Struthio camelus: one gene and its partner. The protein of the gene in region 2 purifies or fractionates together with the protein of the main gene of each other region. This does not show direct contact. Links are inferred from orthologs where the notes say so. Each region holds a gene or a part of one and is shown on either strand. Other genes may lie near its edges.

Region 1 (10,365 bases), about 34 Mb from region 2:
CATGGCCTGATCAAATTATGAGGTGTGCTCTGTTGTGCACAGTCTAAAAGATTCTGCCGTATCAAGCAGGCAACAGGGAATTGGGGGAAATAGGTATTTTTTATGGAGAACACCCAGAACTCATGCTTTAAGGAGACAACAGTGAGTCTCTCCCGTTCTGTTTCCTGCACCTAATTTTAAGCTTGGTGTCTCCAGACCCTTTCCCTTTAGCCTGTGCACATATCTGATAGTTTTTCATATTTGATAACTTAGTTTCAATGCCACATTTCCCCAGATGTTTTAGAGATTTGGGAGAGAACTCTCCTTTAAAAAACAGCTATCTCTCCATCTCAGGACAACAACAGCTGTCAATACCAGATGTACAATGCAAGATGCAGCAACAATTAGTAACCATTTGCAAGCCAAAGATGAAGGAAGTAGTGTGAAGTAGGTTAGTGAGGAGCCCGAGACAGGGATCATTAAATTAATTATGCTTGGCAAATGCTCAGTGTGTGTGGGGGGGAATGACAATACCGTTGTACTTTGGCTTCTTCACAATTATCTATGTATTTGCCGACTGGTTCCATTTATTCCCCATTCCGACACCTTTTTACCTAGGATGAAACTGAGGGGAATCACCAGCTCTAATTCTGGGCTGGAAACTGAAGACCCCTGCTCATAGATACCACATACAACACTGCAAGTTCACTCCTGTGGCTGATGTATGTAGAATGACCAAGTTGTCATATCTCTGTTCAACCATGGCTTTTTTGCTAGTACCCAGGTGTATATTGTTCCTCTCTGCAGACGTGAGTGAATTGTATTTCCAACATACGAAACGATATGAGTTTTGTCTCACTCCTATCATGTAAGGCTCTACCCCATCAGGCGTTGTCTTCCCCTTCTCCCACAAGGAGCCGATAGTCCTGGGGGATCCCCTTCCCCTGCAGTTATTTTCAGTTAGGGTAAAAGCATCTGCAACAGCAAGGGCTGGACGTACACTTCATTGCATAACGACTGTAATCTCACTCTGTGGAGAGCCCTTGCGGCGAGGCCAGAATCCCAGGCAGGCTTCACCAGGCTCATCATTGCTTCCTTAGCTTCTCTTGCAACGCAGATATCTATTCCCAGTGGCCCTTTCTCAGTCTGTTGGCACCTTGCATTGTACGTAATGTTTTCTTTCTGAAGACTGTTTCAGTAGGAATTAGCGCATCCTCTTCCTGTATTTCTGAGAAGGCACGGTAAATCTCATTACCCTGGCGCAACATCCCCCAGCTGCTTGGAGGAGGAAGTGGAGAAAAATTGCCTTTGTTGGCTGTTGTGCCTGGCTCCTTGTAAAACTTCTACGTTGCTATGCTGACCTGGAAACCTAGCCTGAGCTGTCTCCCCTGCCCATGCCAATCTGCCCAAGGTGGTTCTGGGATGGTGCCATCATGTGTTTTCTCCCACTTGTCCAAGTCACTGTACCAAGGTCCTAATGAGTTTCTACTCACAGGGCAGTAGCGTAACCTCCTTCACACATCTACCAAGGGCCAAGAGTTGTCCTTATCCTATATCTCAAGCCAAGTCTTCCTAAACTGAAAAGATTTTCTTGAATGGATGGAAGGCCTCAGGGATCAGGCCGACTTTAACTCTTTGTATTTAGAAAGTCTCCTCAATAGCCACTTTGGAAGTTGATTGGGGAGGTAGGAAAATAGTATAAGCAGTGAGTGTGGAAAATTTATGGGCCCTTTCACTCATACTGCAGTATGGAGAGCCCTGGTAAACCCTGGGGAATGGGGGTCATTTTAAATTTCTTGCTAGAAGAATGACTCATCTGCTCTTTGGTATCCTCACTGCAGAAACAGACTGACTTGCTGACAGCACTGGAAAATACAAGTGGAAAGCAAATGGACATCTCTCTGGGGCTGCCTGACTGAATCAAATGTGAAGGCGATGATACACACAAAGAGCCCAATAATTTTCTAGATTTGAACTCTTTTGAGCTCCTGGGACATAGGCATCATTTTTGTGTTCAGGAGGACACATTTCTTGAATACTTGTTAAAGGCTCTTCAGACTGACACAGTTTCTCTTGACTCTGGACACTGCAGTCTTTTCAGGGTTAGTTATGAATAAGTTGTGGCCAAACAAATAACAGAGCAGAAGAAACCGCCAAACTGAGTAACAGGCTCTCTGGGCACAGTATGAAACATGATGGCTTTTTCAAGAGCCAGTGGTTAAGAACAACCTTAAACATGTCCAGAACATCTGTGGTGGGGACTTCCATAGGAGAATGCATTTGCCTCCTGAGTGAGTCACTGGTGTTTTCCATGTGCCATAACATTCCCATGAACCTGTATGCTGTGGCTGTACTTGTTCTACCGCGCTGTCAAATTGGGAAATGGAAGTTGTCCACAGCTCCTGTCACATTAAACTGTTCAGACCACTTGGCTCCATTGATCTTAGCAAATATACCTGGAGTCCTACAAGGCCTAAGTGCACCCACGCACATTCAGATCAGCAAAACATCAGCTGTTCTCTGAAGCAATTGTCAATGATGACATTTTGTGACAGGAAATCATTGCAAAATGCTGGGTTCTCAAGATTAAAAACTTCTGTCCTGCTCAGAAGAATAAACACAACTAGTACTTTCTAAACATAGATTCATTTGGATTTTGCTCTGGGACAAAAATCAAAACCACTTTTCAGGATTTATTGTCTAATCATTAATGCCTGGGCAGTCGGTAAATTTGTTACTATTACAATCTCTGATTTTCCACTGGAAAAAAAAAAAAAAAAGAAAAAAGAAAAGTTAAAGTTCAACCATAACCATTGGGTTTATCCATGCCAATTAAACCAGAAAAAAGCCATTACAGTATCTTGCTAAATTGTTTCTTGGATAACTCCCTCAGCAATACTAGGGAAATAGATGCAAAACCAGTATATCCATTAATATTCTTTTAATTCACTAGTGTTTCAAAGTTCAAGACAACCTTAAATGATTGCATCCTTATCAGCCTAACTGAGGTATAAAACACTACCCTCTTGCCCTCTCACCGTGGCATATGTTGGAATGACCCAGTAATAGCTGCATGGTAAGCAAACAAAGAGGCAACAGAAAGTCTTTCTGCTGAGTACCCACAGAGGAAGCAAAGGAGAAAGAAAAAGCAGGAGTTCCCTGTACAGCAACATATCTGCTTACTACCAATGCATGTTGGAGCAGAACTATTCCGTGTATGTTTAACATGACTGGATTTGATGTTTATGCCAGCAGACTCTGTCACACTTCTCACTCTGGCCCCGGCTCAGGCTGGAGTCTTGCATGTGCCCGCACGATATATGAAATGTAACCAACGAACCAATCGACCAAAAAATGTCCCCCTGCTATCAAGCTTTTTAAAGATTTGTTCTGTCCAAAAATAATACCAGTTTTCTAATTCACTGCCACCTTATGGCATTTTAGAGAGATAACACTTCAGTAATTTCTATCAGACGCTCAGTATTTTCAGGTACCCTCCCTGAGAACTTGGATGCTACCAAAAAAATGCTTTAATTTTGCATTTTAGCAACTATAAAGCTGTCTTTCCCATCCAGATCGGAACAATATTAATGTCTGGGACACTGGATTATTCTTGCTTGTGAAAACTGATCATTAAAACGTCAATTCTATTTATATTTACAGATTGTAAAGGGAGGTCATTTCATCAGCCAAGGGGTCAAACATAAATATGAAATTTGCAATGTTGTCAAAAGAGAACCTTTCAATCCAAAAGAGCAACTAGCTCACTCATGATTTGCCCAAATGATTTTAACTGTTAGTACAGTTTTGAAATCGAGAATGAAGGCTTAACAGATGCCCTTATCATGTGTTTATGGTTTTTCTGATAGCAGTCTTAACTAAGGAAATAGTCTATGAAAAAAAACTAACAGAAATTGGAAAGGGATGATATTTATCTGGTCTTCAAATACGTAACAATTCTCCTTTAAATATATGTGTGTGGTTTCAAGGTAGATGAGCAGAAAACTCTCTGACTGAAGTGGACAGGTTTTGGAGAGTTCATTGGTTAATAATTACTTGGAAATGTGGGCAGGACTGGCTAAGGGGAAGCAGGGCAGCTGAGATTTTTTTAGTGTACATTCCCCAAGTGGATGGATAGGGCTGGGATTTGGAAAAGCGAGATTAGTAGTAACTGAGAGTTTTGGTTTTGATATGGATTGTTTTGGTACTGAAGGGGAAACTGGTAGGGACGAGATAAACCATGTTGAGGAGTACAACCATGAAGGGTTGTTTTTTTTTTTTTTCCCGAGTTAACCTTGTTCTCCATAAGTAAATGAAGGTGATGTTTCATTTATGAATGTAGACTTGTCAGAGAGTTTTAAAAGACATGCGGCAAAGGGCTAATGTATGTGATTTTTATTTAATAGTCTTATGGGTAATGATGAATGCTAATGTAAAGAGATCATCGTCCCACTCCCCCTACCCCTGCCGCCGTTTTTCAGACTGTCTGCTTTGTCAAACAACAAAGCTTAGGGTCTCTCTTAGGTCAGTTCCACTATTTGTGTGGTCTTTTGAAAGAACTTCATCAGAATATAAGAAAACGTGATTTGTGTTGGTGTTGGTGCTCAAGGCTAAAAAGCGATTTCAAGCTCTGCTTTAAAACATGCCTGGAACATCTGATGGTTCATTTCCGGTAGAAGAAAGCTGGACACTGCCCAGTTGCATATTGACTTTGTCTTTTGAGTTAAGATCACTCTATATTAGAGAACTAACCCAATCTGTAGCCCAAATTGCTGTCCCCTGCTTTCTTCGCCTTCCATCCCCAGTAGTCTTGGTAGGGGGTGAAGAACTGTACCAGAATAGGAGAGAACGTGTCATTTTTTTGTGGTTGGTGACTTATGGAGACTGTGGCTGAGCAACGCTCAATATAGTGGTGTATCCGAGGGGTCTAGAGTGGTGAGTGAGGCCGGGTGGTTTGGGGGTGACTTCAGACTGTCTCTTTCAGTCCTTGGTAAGGCACGCCACCCTCGAATTTTAATTTCCCAGCTGCACAGAGCTGTGCAGGTAGCTCATGAAGAATCAAACCCTAAAAAGTCCTAGGTCCTTCGCGATAGTTAAAAATCACGTATCATTTATCAGAAGGTGAAAAGGTTTCTGGCAAACCAAGCACCCTGGGGTGAGCGGAGTGCTGAACAGGACCGTTTTGAGAGGGTGAGCTTGTTTTTTGCCTTGGAACAAAGCTCTTGCAAAGGATAAACGTCAGCTGCCTCTGGCCTGATCTTTGCTTGCTCATGTAGCAATGCCGTTTAGAGAAGGACTGAAAAAAGTAAAAGACTCTGGCAGCACTCTTATGCCTTGAAAGAAGCAGCTCTTAAATTTAAGAGTCTTAACACTGGCAAGAAAATGCTTCTGCCAGTCCAAGTTATTTTCTTGGTGGTATAAACTATTCTGGCAAGTACTTTTTTTTTTTTCCTAGTGGTAGAAGGAAGAGGTTCTCAGTTTTGGCTGAGGTCTGCTGAGTAATTTTCCTGGGGTCACAGCAGCAGGCAGCAGTGCTCCAGCTCCGGCTTTGCCAGGGCCGGGAGCTGTTGCCCCACAGACGCGTTAAGACCCCTGAAGAGCGTGAGCCCTTCCCGAAGAGCGTCGCGATAAACGCCTGGGACTCCGGGCAAGGCCAAGCCAAACCCGCTCATGGTGGCACCAAGGCCGATAAAATGCGGATAAAATGACTGCAGGACGCTCAGACGAGCTAAGGCGATTAGGTGCTGGCACAGGCCGCACCAGGCCGCGACGCCCCCTCCCTGCGCATGCGCGACGGCGGCACTGCGCACGCGCGCTCCCCTCCCCCCAGCCCCGCCCTGCGCCTCCAGTGAGGTCATAAAGGTGAGCGAGGCGGGGCGCGCGGCTGGGAGGTGGCGCCGCCGAGCCCCAGTGGGAGCGGAGGCTGCCAGCAGCGCCGGGCTGCGGATTGGCGCCGCGCAAGCAGCTGGATGGCGTCTTCGGGCCGCCTCATCCCCGCCGGCCAATCAGAGGCCTCCGCCGGGGAAGCCAATCGGAGCCCGGACGCGTTCTCCGCCTCAGGCTGCGGCTTGAAACCGTCCCAGGGCGACAGCGCGTCCCCTCATTGGCTCTCCCGCTTCGGCTCTCTTCGGGTGGGCCCGGTAATGGCCGGAAGAGAGGGCCTCTTCCTATTGGCTCGCCGATCGCGCTGCTAGGGCGGCGGCAGCAATTGCCGATTGGGTCTGCGCTCTCCTTCGGCGAGACTCGGCTGCGCCCGTAACGACTCCGCGATTGGTTACGAGGCGTTAGAGGCATTTCTGTAGCGGCCTCAGGATTGGCCCCGAGGAGGCTCGGACGTTTCCGTAAGGGCCTCGGGCTGGGGGCTGGCGAGTGCGTCGGGCTCTTCGGCTGGGTATTCACAGAAGGTGCTTAGGGCCGTTCCGCAGCGTAGGGCGGCAACGCGCATAGGCGGCTGCGCGGCTTTGGCGCACACACAGCGCGCAGCAGCAGGAGCCCGGCACGCAGCGGAGGCAGCAGCGGGGACAAAGGGACTGATCGGCAGGAACGGGGAAGGGGGCCCGGCAGGAGGCAGCCGGCGCCGGGAGGGAGCGGCAGGAGCCTTTAGCCGGGCGGGCGAGTCCCATGTGCCTTGGACGCCCGGGGAAGCAGCAGCAGCAGCCGCCGTCGCCGCCAGCGCTCTGAAGCCGGCTGACGAGGAGCTGGGGAGCCGCCGCCGCCGTCATGGCCTGCACCGCCGCCTCCGGCCGCCACCCGCACTGCAGCCTCCCCAGCCTGAGCCGCCGCCAGCTGCCCCTGCGGGCGCAATGAGGAGCCGCGCCGGAGCCGCCGCCTCAGCGCCGCACTGAGAAGCGTTAGCGAGCGAGCGAGGCCGCCCGGGCCGCTTCACCCCCTACTCCGCCCGCCGCGGATCCCACCGCCCCTGCCGGATCCCCTTGCAAGCGGGGCGCATCACCTCCTGTCGGCGGATCCGGGAGCCCCGAGATCCTTCCGCCGGGGAAAAATAGTCCCGTTCCCTGCTGCCTCCCGAAGAGGCGAGGGGGAAGGAAAGGAGAGGGGAGGGGGAAGAGGAGGAGGAGGAGGGGAGGAAAAAAAAAAAGAAAAAGAAAGAAAAGCCCGGCGGACGGGATCAGAGGAGCCCGGCCATAAGCCTCCGCCCCATGTGACTGGCGCTCAGGGTGGGGGCAGCGAGGCCTAGCAAACCCCCATCGCTTCCCAGCCGGGAGAAGGAGCGGCGGCGGCGGCGGGGGCGCTGCGGACTGGGTGGAGGCCGCGCTCGGAGCCGCTGGTGCTGCCGGCGAGGATGTCCTTATAGGAGGCGGCGTGAGGCGGAGGAGCCGCGAGAAGCGCGACGAGACCCAGAGGGCAGGGGGCTTCCCCGGCCGGGTTTTGGGGGGGGGGTCGGGGGGGGGAGAGGGGGGGCCGGGAGCTGAATGCAGCGGGCCTGAGCCGCCTCCTGCGGCCGGGCGAGAGCGAAGCGGGCGGCGGCGGCAGCGGGGCAGGAAGGTGACCAGGGGCAGAGGAAGCGACGGAGACCATGTCCGGGCGGCCCAGAACCACCTCCTTTGCGGAGAGCTGCAAGCCGGTGCAGCAGCCCTCGGCCTTCGGCAGCATGAAAGTTAGCCGTGAGTATTGATTCGCCGCCCGCACCCTCTGCGGGGCGCCCGCCGCGGTGTTTCGTCCTGGGGGTGGCGGGGGGGGTTGTTAATTTTTATAATTCAATTTATATATATATATATTTATATATATACGTATTTATTTTATATATGTATATCTTTCGGTAAATACGGTAACGCAGTGGCTCGGAGCCTGGGCAGTGGCAGAGTCCTGGGCTGCCTCTAGCCCTGGATGAGGCGGCTCCCTTTCTCTCCCCTTCCCTCCCCCTCATTAACCTTGAATAGGCACACATCATGGTTTCGTTTGGGGCCTGCTTAACCAAAAAAAAAAAATATATATATATATATATATGTATATATCGCTTGTTTTATCCGTTTCTACAGCCTCTTGTCTCTGCTAATATTGTGAGCCGCCCGTTTGGCTAATTGAAAAGAATATTTCTTTGGAAAATGGATTGGAAGCTCTAGAGGCTTTTTTTTTTCCTCCTTCTGTGAAAGGAGGAAATGAATTACGGACCCGTAGGTATGGTCGTGACATTCATGTTCAGTATACGTTTGTATAACTGTTGGTTCTCCTGGAGAAAGCTTAGTAGATTTTTTTCCAGGCAGCTGTAGATCGGGTGTGAGCACCTTTTGTAAGCCTTTCTTTCTCTCTCTCTCTCTCTCTTTTTTTTTTTTTTGTGGGCTGCACTAAAATGTCTCTCTGTAATACGAATCAGGCTCTGCTAAAATGCTCAATAGAGGGGATGAGGAAATCGTTAATATGACATGTGAGTCTATGGAGTAGTTATTTCAAGCTCAGTATGCCTTTTCCAGTTTTCTGATCAGAGGAATTTTTCTTAAGAACGAGGCCTATGCTCTATTCTGCACAGGCGTGTTGTAGATGGAATAAGTATTTAATATGTGCCCATCCTTCATATTCTAGCCAGTGGGATTGGGTATTTCGTGCGAATTGGAAATGTGTATTAAATATTAACAAATGTATGGTGTGAATGGAGAAAGGCCCTATTCTGAGTCATGAAAGACTAGCTACGTGTCCGCAATACAGAATTTGTTGGCTCCTGATTTGAATATGTTCATATTAACAACTGAATTGTTCCTGCAGGTTCGTGTTACTAGCATAGTTCTCAAAAGTATATATTTTTTTCTTGTGGAAATAGAGGGTGGCATCATTATGGGACGCGGAATGCTTGGTATGCATTACTGTTCAATCGATTTATTTGATGCTTGTGTATAGCCACACCTGACAGCACTGTGTGTGTGTATCATATTGTTTTGGGCATCTCATGCCAAAGCTGTATGTGATTGTGAGCTTTTGACATACCAGAAATGTTGGCATTTTTCTGCACCGAAATGTCTTCTACTGCGGTTGAAGCCTTGAAGAGAGCATTGGGCTTGGGGTCTTGTAGTCTACCTTGTATCTGCATGATCAGAGTGCCTGCAGTACTTAGAAAAACATGGAGTGCAGTTAATCCATATTAGCAGCATAAGAGTGTATGTTTGATCAGATCCAGCATTAGTGTGTATTAAGACTCTTTAATTTTTGTGGGGAAAATCTGTATATGACTCCATTTTAATTTATTGATTCACTTTATGTGAATGTGGCATAGGAAGCGGGTCTTGTTGATCAATATTTCTGCAGGTGGTTCTGTTTAAACCAAGCCAGACCTAGACCTGTCACGCTCAGAAACTATATTTGTCTTATTCCAGCTTTAAAGCTTGATTCTTGAAAGGTCATTGATACTCTTTTCCCATTTATTTGAGGTCAAAGACTAGACAGATGCTTACCTATGAAGAGGGTGCTAACCGATGCAGACTAACAAGTTTGCAAATTTGATTCAATCCCAAGTGTATAACACTGAGGGAGAAACAAAGGCCGTAGCATAAAGCACATGCACTTGTGATAACCCCCACAATCGCTCTAGTCATGTGCCCTGTTCCTTCTGCTGTCTGGAAAAAAATGTCAGAACAAAGCAAGAGAACCACATACAAGGACTCTGTGGGAAATACAGTTCATATTTTCAATTAAACTATCCAAGTAAGACAGTCCAGAAAATTAAGATTTAAAAAAAAAAAAAATCTTTTGTGAGAGAGCAGTGATGCTGCCAGGTGCCAAAAACAGTGGTAATTGTCTGGGTCTCGTGAGTTCTGGTAGCATCTTAAGGTATGATGTAGCAAGTCATCTATTAGCAGTATTGAGTGCTTGGAAAAAATCACTTGTATGGTGAACAGGGAGTTTCTTGGCTCTTGCTTTTTACTTTTTATATATAGATAGATACTTTAATGATATTCTCAGCCCTTTTGAGTGAAAGCTGGAGTGAAAGAATCCTTGTGAAGCAGATGAAAATTGATGGTTCAGTTTGAGTCCTATAGTCAGCTTTAGTTACCTCTGTCTTGGTGCAGGTCTTCTCCAAGTTGCCAGGGATTGAAAGCTGACTTGCTTGATGTCAGCTTCATTGCTTGTGTTTGTAAGCCTGGAGGAGCAGTGGAATGAAGCGATCAGGTCAGTTTTGCTCTGGTATTTGCACAGGTATTGCTGCTCCTAGTTAGGCACAGTAATGGTTATGTGGGAAGGAAGGATTCAAATGGTGGTGAGGGACTTATGAAGTAGTGGAGGGCTCACCGATTCATGGGTTATCTAGGATGAGAGGTACTGGAGAAGTACAGTGATGGGTTCTTTGGTTCAGGGTACATGTGAGAGAGCAAGCAGGTTTTTCATCTCTTCCCTGGGTAATTTATTAGACTTTGTTCTCGGAAGCTGGTAAGAAAGCCT
Region 2 (10,520 bases):
GCTTCATGTATGGTGGAAAATGTTTAAGCTACCGTAGTTGGGGCCCACAGGAAACTTTTGGGAAGTGTGTACTGGGTATAAGACAGGAACCAAGCGAGTCAGTGTTTAAAATACGCACTGACAATGAATTGCTTCATTACTTAGAGAACAACTGAGAAGGGGGGAAGGACTAAAGCTCAGCAAAATCACAAAGTAGGCAAATAATTGTCTGATGGATACATCAGACACCAGACATCAGGTCTCCTGACCTCTTGTCCAGGACTTTGCTGCTGCCCAGCCCATAGTGTATTCCTTATCGTGGCAAGCTTCTCCTTTCAGGACACAGCAGAGTCTCCTCTGCATTTACATAGTCCCCACTGGAATATACTGCATCTCAGAAAGAGGGATAGGCCCTAGGGAGGTCATTTGCATAGAGAAAAATGGGGGAAGAGCCATTTGAGGGCTGACATATTAAGCATAAGACTTGCAGGATAGCCTTCTCCCTTGACACCCACAGTGAAGCCTGCGCTGCGCACTTAAATCTCTCCCTCTCTGTGCCACTATGTGCCCCAAGGCCCCTGTGCTGTCCGGCTGCGCTGCGTGGGGTGCAGGGACCTCACAAGGGAAGTGCCCCAGCTGCGCGCCAGGATGAGGGCTGAGCTCAGCGAAGTGGTGCACTGCCTGCCCACACCAGACACCGCAGCTCCCCCCTGCCCCCCTCCCCCCCCCCCCAATCATGCAATCCCCTGCCTGGGTGCATCATCTCCTGCAGGATCTCACATGCTGAGAGAGAAGAAAACAAACAGCCATTTTGCACATGGCTGCTTATCTTCTCCACTAGCATTTTGTTTTGCCCTGCTAAGCTTTTTCATTTCTCCTCCTACCCCTTTCCTTGTAAATAAACTCTCTCAGTTGAAGAATGAAAGTGCTACCCTTCAAAGCAAAGAAACTTGGGCCCTTCTGGCCCACAAGCTGCTTAAAAAAGGCACATAGACATGTGAGAAACTGAGCCAGAGCCCTCCCTCCTGCAGCAGTTTACTGTAAAGCACATGCATAGTCTCAGATGGGAGGCTTTACAAACTCTGAACAGTCGGAGGCAAGGACGTCGGGGGCAGAGCACCTGAAGAAATCAGACTTCAGCGCATCCCTGAGCAGACACATGGGAAATGCTGCCTTCCTGGAGCTGGGGTGGGGAAGGGAGAACTGGGAAGCACAGGCAGGAAGAGTCTGGCTTGGGAAGGTGCCCAGTCTCACACAGAGCGGGGCAGGTAACGATCAAACGACTATTTATGGCTCTTTTGCTTTGTGACAACTGCAGCCTTATATGGGCAAGAGAGCTCCACTGCAAGCTGAGCTGCGGAGGTGGAGCCTCAAGGGGCACTCCTGGCGTTTGCTCCCAGGCTATGTGCCTGTAAAATCCACTGACCTCCTTCCTGGGAAAAACCCTGGGAACCCTCTCTGAATCCAGCTGTTTAAATTTCAAACTAGAAAACGACCCCTCCCTTTCTCACTCATACCTCCTACTAGCTGGAGCTGTGATGCAAGAGAAACGTCTGCATTTGTGATGTAGCGGGTTTCAGGGAGAAATGGGTTGGAGAGTCACCAGCATCGGCCATGGGAAACCTATTCCCATCTGGTCGTGATACTACTGAGAACCGGAAGAAAAAAAGAAAGGAAAACCAAACAAACAAAAAAAAAATCCCAGTGTTGTTTGTTGGACACAAGTGAGTGTGTGAAAGGCTGCAGCTGGCAAATCTGGTGCACAAACTGAGTCTGTTACAGATCCTTTTGCCTCTGAACATGCTCCAGAGTCCCCCAAAAACTCTGGCAGAGCAGCCAGTGTACGTATTGGGTTCTTACACATTTCAAGGCTGTTCAAACCATTCAGCTGAATTGCCCTAGAAACTGGTTACAAATAAAACCAAGCATAAGCATGCTAAAAATGTCACTGTCATCAGATAAGGCTGCTATGCACATACCATTCCTGACACAAGCTCATTAAAGCTAGGACATGAAAAGTTAAGCCACCAGATCACATGTGTATGGTGGCTGGGGTGGGGGAGTATGGTGAGCAGGGCTTCAGACTGCATTTTTCTTTCTGGGCCTGCCACCAGTCTGTAGGGCATCACCCCTGTGTGACTCAGTTTCCCTCGATGGGGAAGAAAAGAGGGATGTTGCGGCACCCACCTCCTTTTGAGATGTCGGAAATGCTTTGGGAAGCAACAGCAGATTGGGAGGCAAGGGATTAGCCACTCTACTTAGGAGCTGTGAAAGGCTGGTGTTTCAGAGGACAGAGCACACGCTGACTGCCAGCCCTCAGAGATCCTTACCAAACAGTCATACTTAGCACTCCAGGAGGTAGTTATCTATATTTTATAGGAGCGGAAACAGCAGCACAGCCAGCTTCCTCTATAATACAAGTCCCAGAAACACAGGGCTGAGTGAGCTAAATGCTTACCACATGGTCTTACTATTGTCAGATACTCAGGTTTAGTCAGAGGTACACAAGCTGCCAAATTTAATGAACTTCAATACCATGTACAGAGCTTTTATGGTTCTCAGGCCAAATATTTTAAGAGGCAAGACAGAAAGCATCCAGAGGGTGCAGGAGTTATGGGAATGGTTCATAGGTAGGACTCCTGTCCTTCCCCCCTCCCCATGGGAGGCACCAAGGCCAGGCACACACAGACATGCACTGAGACCCAAAGGTGTTGGCCACAAGACACTGACTGGCTCGTGTCCTCCTGTAGCTGTGATTTCAGATTACCCTGCATCTTCATCTGCTGTGTCCCAGCACAGCACCATCTCTCCTGAGCTTACCACAACAGCCACCTGGAACTGCTCACAGGTGGCATATGGCTCAAGAAAGAGAGGCTGTGCACCCTTTCCTTGAGACAAGTAACTTGGATTAGGTTAACCTAGAATGATGGAACGTCACATTCCTTCTCACCCTAACAAAGATCAGGGCTGTTGTTTGATGATTGCTCTAAGCCAGCTCAAGTTTGGGCAGCCCCCAAAAGAGGAATTCCCCTTCCCTCCTATTCTGCTTCCTCCTCCAATATTCGCACTCCCACTGCCAGCCCTAGATCACACAATCAGCTGATTGAGCTGGAAACAAATATAAACCAAAAGAATGAGAGATGTTTCCAGCTGGATCACTTTCTTGGCCCAGTTGACTAGCTAGGTGCCAGAGAGACGCTGGGAAGGCACATCTGTGAGAGGGATTATTCAGTGGCAGCCCAGACATAGGCTGGTCAGAAACAATCAGGGAATCACAGTCCAGGAGAAACCAGAAAACCCCTTTTGCAGTGACACCATGAATGAATTCACTCCATCTGCACAGGGGTCACAGGGGTTGTTATAGCATATCAGATGCAAGTGGTTGTGATCAGCCTCTGCATTAAGGAAACTCTGTTGTCAAACATGTAGGACTGCCAAAGTCATAGAGTCATTTAGTGCGGAAGGTAACACTGGAAGTCTCTAGTCCAACCAACTGCTTGGAGCAGGGCTAGTTTCAGAGTTAGATCAGAGTGCTTCACCAGGTCCAGCCGGGCTATGAAACCAAGCATGGTGATTCCACGATCTCTGTGTTGTTGCCTCTTGTCCTTTCGCTGAGCACCTCTGACAAAAGTCTGACCTAGCTTCTCTATCACCCGGCTTTGGGTAGTAGAAGGTGGTTAGATCCCTTCCCCCTCCTAACTTTCTCCTCTCTAGGCCAAACAAACCCAGCTACCTCAGCCTCTCCTTATAGAGCAGATGCTTTAGCCCCCTAGCCAGCTTACTGGTCCTTCCCCGGAGTTGCTCCAGTTTGTTAATCTCTTTCTTTCAAATGCAAAGGACCATCCTGAAACAGCCTGAGGAACTGTCTGTCTCACTTCCTGGAGAAGAACAGGTGTCTCCACCTACCTGTATAAGCACATATCTTTGTGAGTGCATTTGTTGAGGTGGGGGGGGAGGGGGGTGTACACAGTACCCGTGTTCCTGTGTGTGCATGCTAAGTGTGTTGGAGGCATGGTCACACAGTGAGAGCCAGTGCACCTACCTATCACGTAAATACTGTCTCAGAAGTTCAGCTAATAAAAGTGGGTGCAAATTCACTGAAGTTTGTGGAGCCATGCTGGTTTCTGGAGCAGAGTTTTACTGCACATACACTGCGTGAATGCCTTCTGTGAGTGCACCCAGGGACACCTGTGTATCATCCTTCTCCTTCAGTTGCTCTGTACCCTAGCAAACATGGATCCTCCTTCCCATTGTTACCAGAGAAGATGTTTACAGTCAGGTCTAAATCTGGTCAGGTAGCTTCTCAATTACTCACCTCTCAGTTATTATTCTGCTTCAGTAACTCTGAGGCTCAGGGAAACAAGGTGTACCAGGCAGTAGCTAGGACTGGAAGACAAAAGGCAGGACGACAGAAATCATGTTCTGCTCTGGCGATGTTGCCGGAGGGCAATGCATCACTGCCATGATGTCATAACTGTGAGGCACAACCTTTAAAGCATGAAAAAAAAAGAACACCCATTACTCATGGACCAGACAAGCATTTTGAAAGGAGGAGACTGAGAAGGAAGACCTTTACCTGCTTGCTGCCTAGGAACGATGGTAGGCAAAATGACGTATGATTGCAAATCAGTGGTGCCATTTGCAATAGCAGGATCCCCCCTGCACAGACAGAAGAACTGCTAATTGTAGCCTGATGTGCAATCCCTCTGGAGTCTTCATAAAGGATGGGAAATGGGGAAGGTTGAGAAGAGCTCTAGGCTCTGGATCGGGGAAATACATGGCAAAAGGGACCGAGCAGGGATGCAAGACCTCAGATATGAGGCTACCAAATAGGTCATAGACGTGATCTGCAGGCAGGAGGAGGGAGGCAAGGACAGGGCATCTCTGCACTGTCAGCTGAGTGTGCAGCTCAGCTTCCGCCTTACAAAGCCAGAAGCTCTGTGAAGAGGTGTACCTCCCCAGATGGAGGACCTGAGGCACTTCAGTGCAGGCCAAACTCTTGTTTGTGCAGTCTGGACAGATTAGGCAGGGTAGGGCCAAGCCCAGACCAGTAGCTGCCTTGTGTAAGGCACGGGCATGGGTCCTGCAGTGCTAAGTTACAGACCAGGGAAGAGGCAGCAACAGAAAGAGAAAACCTGAGGGTGCCGGTTCTCAGCTGGCCACATCCTTTCCTCATTTTGGAGCAGGAACATAGCCATCAAGCCTCTGTGTTAAGGGTCTTTGGTGCTGCAGTCCCATGATGCTGGAATATTTGGCAGAGAAGGATGAGGGATACTGGGTAAAGACCTCCTTGGCGTTCAGAGCCAAGCCAGAGCTGTGGACTTACAAAGAAGAGGAAGAAAATAAAAGAGGTCTCCTATGGGAAACAGAGATATAAATCTCTGTAATGAAGGGTGAGGTGCTCAAAGGCCTGGCTCAGTTCAGAGCAGGTCAAAGTTTGATCCTCAGCTATAAGAGATTATTACAGAGGTATAATACAATACATTTTTACTAGAAACCAAGGACAAAAACCACTGACTGTTCACATCACACAGCTCCCTTTAGCCTGCAGACAATTTGGGGGGCTGCCTTAGGTAGGCAAAAGGAGGTCTGGTCAAATTTGAAACATTGAGCTTGTTCCAGGGGTCAGCATCTCCCACTGAGACCCTTTGGTCAATCCCAGAGAAAGGCATGGAAGTTAAATTCAAACTCAGCCCACCCCCTGCAGCAGCTCCACCTCTGGATCTACCAGGCCCAGCTGGGGTGGGATGGAAAGCCATGTCTGGTAAAGGACTGAGGCAAACTGCACCGTCACCACTGCTGGAAATAGGTCAGAGGATCCAAAATATGGATACAGCTACAGTAAGCCATGGAGACCTTGTTCTCTGCCCAGGGCAGGGTGGCCCATCCCTTCCAACTCCGCAGCTCAGCATATCTCACCGAGCTTATCTGGTCGCGTGCCCTCCTCCCTCCCCAGCCGTACCCCCAGGGCCAGACTTTCCTGCTTCACCCCAAATGCTTATTTTTATTATTTTAAAACAAACAGAGTTGTGTCTGTTTTGATTTCCAGATGGAGGTTAGAGGGAGGTCAGTGCTGACATCTGGGCTGGAGATAACATTCCCGTCTAATTAGCAAGCCCTGAATAACGAGGGCCTTCCTGTCCCATCCTCCCCCCACCAGCTCGCCCTGGCGTGGCGCGGGAGAGGGCAGAGCCAGCACAGACCAGCCCCTCTCAGCCAGGAGGAGCAGCCCCCTCAGACAGTTGGGTTCTCTCCCAGTGCCACGGGCCTCCACCAGCGGCTGGAAGCGGGGAGCTGCCGCCCTCTCCAGCCCCGGGCGGGTGGCTGACAGCGGGCGGGTGGCCCTCCTTCATGCCCAGCCTTCACCGCCCTGTCTCCAAGCGCTCGGACGGACACAGTTTTCTGAAGCGCTCGGGACGCTGATCTTTTTGCTTAGTACAGGGGCTAAAAGGGAGCTGATCTCTGGAAACGCCTGCCCTGAAGGCGTGCGCAAGCAGGAAATATCTGGTTGCGTGCTCCAGCAGGGCAGGAGCCCCAGCGGCACAGGGAGCTCCGCACAGCCCTGGCAACGTTGCAGACAAGGGGCAAGAGCCTGACAGGCTTTCACGGCCTGCCCGACCTGCCGCCACGCAGGAGGGAAGCTTTAAAGGTAGAAGGATCAGCGCCTGGATCAGCGGCATGTTTTTCCAGCGCGCATCAGGTCCTAGGGCCGGCTTCCCTGGGCTTGTTGCCAGCCACCCGCAGATCCTATTGTCTGGGAAGAGCCCATTCACCTTTTCTGGAAACCAGAGGTTACTATTGTAACCAGAGGTCACTACTGCTACCCTTACTGCTGTACCAAAGTCAATGTGTCAAGAGATGAGATCAAGAGACATCATGTTGGTGGGAAACACAAACGAAACGTGCAGTGGGGTCCCCCTGTCATGGCTAAGTGATCCTCTCCTCTCCCTTCAATCTAGCTAACCATATATTGGCACCTCCGTCCCAGAATCATACCATTTATCTGTGCAGCGCAGCCTGCAAGGGTGACATGATGCAGCTGTTTACTTGTGCACAGCAATACCGCAAACCAGAAGCAACCATGGCAAGAGCCAGTTTTGGGGCAGAAGAGCAAGCAGGGTGGCTGCCTGGGCCCCCAGGCTATGCTCTTAGGGACAGGGAGTGAGAGAGGAGGGCTGTGGATAAGTTGGGAGACCTCCTGACTTTCTCCGGCCTCCTAGAGTCCTCTGCGAGCACGTGAGACCCTGGCACGTGGGGCTACAACGTGCTGGGAGAGGCTGCAGGGCAAAGCCCCAGCCAGCAGTGGTGGTCTCCGGCCAGGCTCCTTTGGGCACAGGGCCCTGTTATCTGGCTGCTTGCTGCTGCAAAGCGATGGCCCATCTCCCCGCATGGCCAGATGGAGCGAATCAGTGGACCGTGGCTCATGCTGGCCAGTTTTGGCCAGGATGCTGTACTGGGGGTGGCAGTGCCAGGGAGACCCATTTTGTCCTCACGCATGGGAGTAGGGAAGGACTCCAGCCTTCACTTTTTGCCAACCAGCAATGTGGGGGTGGCCATGGCCTCGGTTTCCTGCTGTGCCTGAGACATCCCTCCCCCCCTACCGAAGCACAGCACAAAGATGCTGGAATAAAGCCTGACTCAGCCACGAGAGAGACTCCCCAGCTGAATCATGCCGGGGCTCTGAGCTTTCCTTGCAGCTTCCCCACTGTGGGCTGACTGTGCCCAGCCAGTGCTTGCAAAACCCCATGAGATCATGGATGCAAGCGAATGTGGAGAGGGCTGAACCTCAGCCAGGCACTCTCTTCTCCAGGTGAGATTGCAACACCTGATGCATCTGCTTGATGCAAAACCTCAGCCTCCGCTGACACCCTTAGCAACGCTGGTGACATGCCAACCTGCCTGCACCGTCAGCTCCATGGTGGAGGGGGATTTAATGAGGGCAGACTTCAGCGCGCAGCCTCCATTGCTAGAAACGCCACAGCCTGTTGATTCCTCAGAGGGGATGTGACCTTCATTCCTGGCCTTGGTGTAAAACCCCATGAAGGGAAGGAAAAAAAGAGGCGGGGAAGAGGTTCAGGATTTAACACTGCCTCAGCTCAGTCTCAGGGCCCCAGGCTGCAAGCTAAAAAGGACAAGGCCGGAAACTGTGCCCTTGGGTCAGCCACGTGCTACTAGTAGCTGCAAGCTGGGCACAATGTTGTAGGGAGGTCTGGCATCATGAGGAAGCAGCAGAACAGGGAGATGATGGCAACCCTAGAAGTCTGCTCTTGGACATAGCTTCATGTTTCAAGTTTCCATGCTGCAGATTCTAGTGAGACCAACAGCAACAGGTCCCTCACATTCTCGTATCCTTTAATCTCAAGTGTGCTACCACCTTCTGGCCCCCTGTGCTATGCCGGACAGGTCAAAAAGATGCAAAACTTGCTTCTTCTGAGTGTCACTAAGGAAACCTGAATTGGGAAGAGAACTTGAGCCCAAGGTCAGAGAAATGGGAACAAGAACTAAACAGCGCCCAGATAGGTACAAGGGGGCTGGTGTGCTGGGCAACCGCATAGTTTAGCATTAGAAATGCCGTGGCAGGCTTGTGAGTGGTGATGTTTAATGTTGTCTGAGGTCTAGGGAAAATTCTCTGTGGTCCTGCCAGGATCTTAGGGCAAAGCCCATCAGACTTGGCCTGGCTGGGAAAGGGAAGCTGGATCTCCTCAGGTACTGTGTAATGGAAAAGATAAACCAAAGCATCAGCCCCTTGAGAGCAACCCGAGGGAGCAAGAAAGAAGAACTAGAAGGTTTTGTTGTGTAGTTTCCTGCCAAAAACTGACAAGACTGTAAAATCATGAGCACAGAACAATAAGGTCTCCTGTCCCAGCAGCTGCTAAAGCCATCACCTGGGGAGCTTCCTGCAATCAGCCAGTGGAAGGACAAAAAGCAGCTTCCACATGTTTTCCTGGAATTTGTCATATGTGTGATTAATACTCTGGTTAGTCCCTGCCATCCTCTCCTCCCCCAAGGTCGAGTGTCTCACCCTTGGAGAAGAGGATGTGGTTATTAAGACCAACCTCTCTTGAGGAGAAGGCTCATCTTTCAGATTTGCTTCTCCAAGCAGCAGGAGGTGCTTTTCTTTATGACTTCTGAGTCACCCTATAGCCTCCCTGCAGACAGTATTTCCCCTATGCCCCTACTTGCTGTGTGGGCACTGCTTGGACTTCCCCTATAACCTGGGTACCATTACTTCTCTATCTTGCTGTGCCCCAAAGAGACCCAAAGCACTCTGCAAATACTCTGGATGACATGCATTGCAGCTCCACTGCTTATAGTTACCAGATAGTTTTCATGATGCTGCCACCACTCTCTTTTCAGAGTCATGCCTTTCCAAAGCATTAGTTTCTTGGTCTGAACACTGCCATGCTGGATCTCTCCTCATGGATGAATATTTTTAGAAAGTTTGAGCTAAGACCATGCAGTCACTCCTGAGCTATGCCAGGGTGAAAAGAAAACAACCACTTTTGCACAAACAATACAGGCATGTAACAAAAAGCCACTGCAAATGGGATTTTTCAGCATCACTCAAAACTAGCTAAGCTTTGAAAGATGAAACTTGCAGTCCAAAATAAATAAATAAATAAATAAATAAATAAATAAATAAATAAATAAAAGGCTTCTAGTGAACAGAAAGGGTTTTGACAATTTACTTAAAAAGCCAGATTAAAGCAAAACAATGTTATATAAATACTAGAAGGCATGTCGCAGCTTGCATGCAGTACAACACTCCATTTACATCACATCTGCTGTGCTAGCCAGACCCAGAGCACTAGTTACCTGCTCACTGCAATGTGGCACGACCCGCTGGTTAAAGCAGCCTGTGAGGAAAGGAGCTCATCGGTTCCTGTGCCCACTGCCATGGGCCCCATGGGGAAGTGTTTTTGCCTTGGGGTGAAGCAGAATAAAGCAGCCTCAGGGACTGCAGCTCCTCTCCATCCCGAGCCCCGTGAAGCTACACGCACCATATATGTGGAACTGTTGTTTCGCTTTCTGCTCTGCAGGCACCAGGACAGAGCAGCTGTAGCAGCTCAGGAGGCCTGAGGTCACCATTATCTCCAGAAAACACCAAAACCTCTCCAGACAACTTGAAGTGGATGTTTTTTAGGACTGTCATTGCAAAAATTTCCTGTTTTTCAGTATTACTCAACCACTCCTCTGGTCAGAGGAGAGATGGAGCTGGGGGTGCCTTTAGCAGCTGAGGAACTAGCGGTGTGCACCGAGAAGGGTACCAGAAGCTCAATCTTCCCCTAAGAGGGAAGAGCAAACAGGCTGGGTCATAGATTTGTTCATCAGCAGCTACAGTGTGTGTGTGTGTGCATAAACATACATACATATATATATACATGTATATACATATGTATATATGCGTGTATATATATTCAGAGACATTTCTCCACAGAAGCTACATGCCCTGAAGAAAAGTCAGTCAATTTTAGTGCATTATTATTGTGGCTGTTTTGATTATCAGGGTCTGGGAGGTCCACACAGGTGGGCAGGAGGTT

Evidence for each region. Proteins that work in one complex are often made in the same cells at the same time.
Region 1: the proteins of MYH9 (region 2) and GSK3B purify together in Homo sapiens (affinity purification with western blotting; 4 studies listed by BioGRID, with this or other methods). This does not show direct contact. The link is inferred for Struthio camelus from reciprocal best matches to the Homo sapiens genes MYH9 and GSK3B.

Annotation. Positions count from the first base shown.
Region 1 is NC_090942.1:93,116,032-93,126,396, forward strand, and holds the start of GSK3B (glycogen synthase kinase-3 beta), read left to right. Parts: upstream 1-6,173; 5' UTR 6,174-7,513; coding exon 7,514-7,601; intron 7,602-10,365. UniProt on the Homo sapiens protein: Constitutively active protein kinase that acts as a negative regulator in the hormonal control of glucose homeostasis, Wnt signaling and regulation of transcription factors and microtubules, by phosphorylating and inactivating glycogen synthase (GYS1 or GYS2), EIF2B, CTNNB1/beta-catenin, APC, AXIN1, DPYSL2/CRMP2, JUN, NFATC1/NFATC, MAPT/TAU and MACF1.
Region 2 is NC_090942.1:59,383,408-59,393,927, reverse strand, and holds the start of MYH9 (myosin-9), read right to left. Parts: upstream 4,468-10,520; 5' UTR 4,295-4,467; intron 1-4,294. UniProt on the Homo sapiens protein: Cellular myosin that appears to play a role in cytokinesis, cell shape, and specialized functions such as secretion and capping. Required for cortical actin clearance prior to oocyte exocytosis. Promotes cell motility in conjunction with S100A4.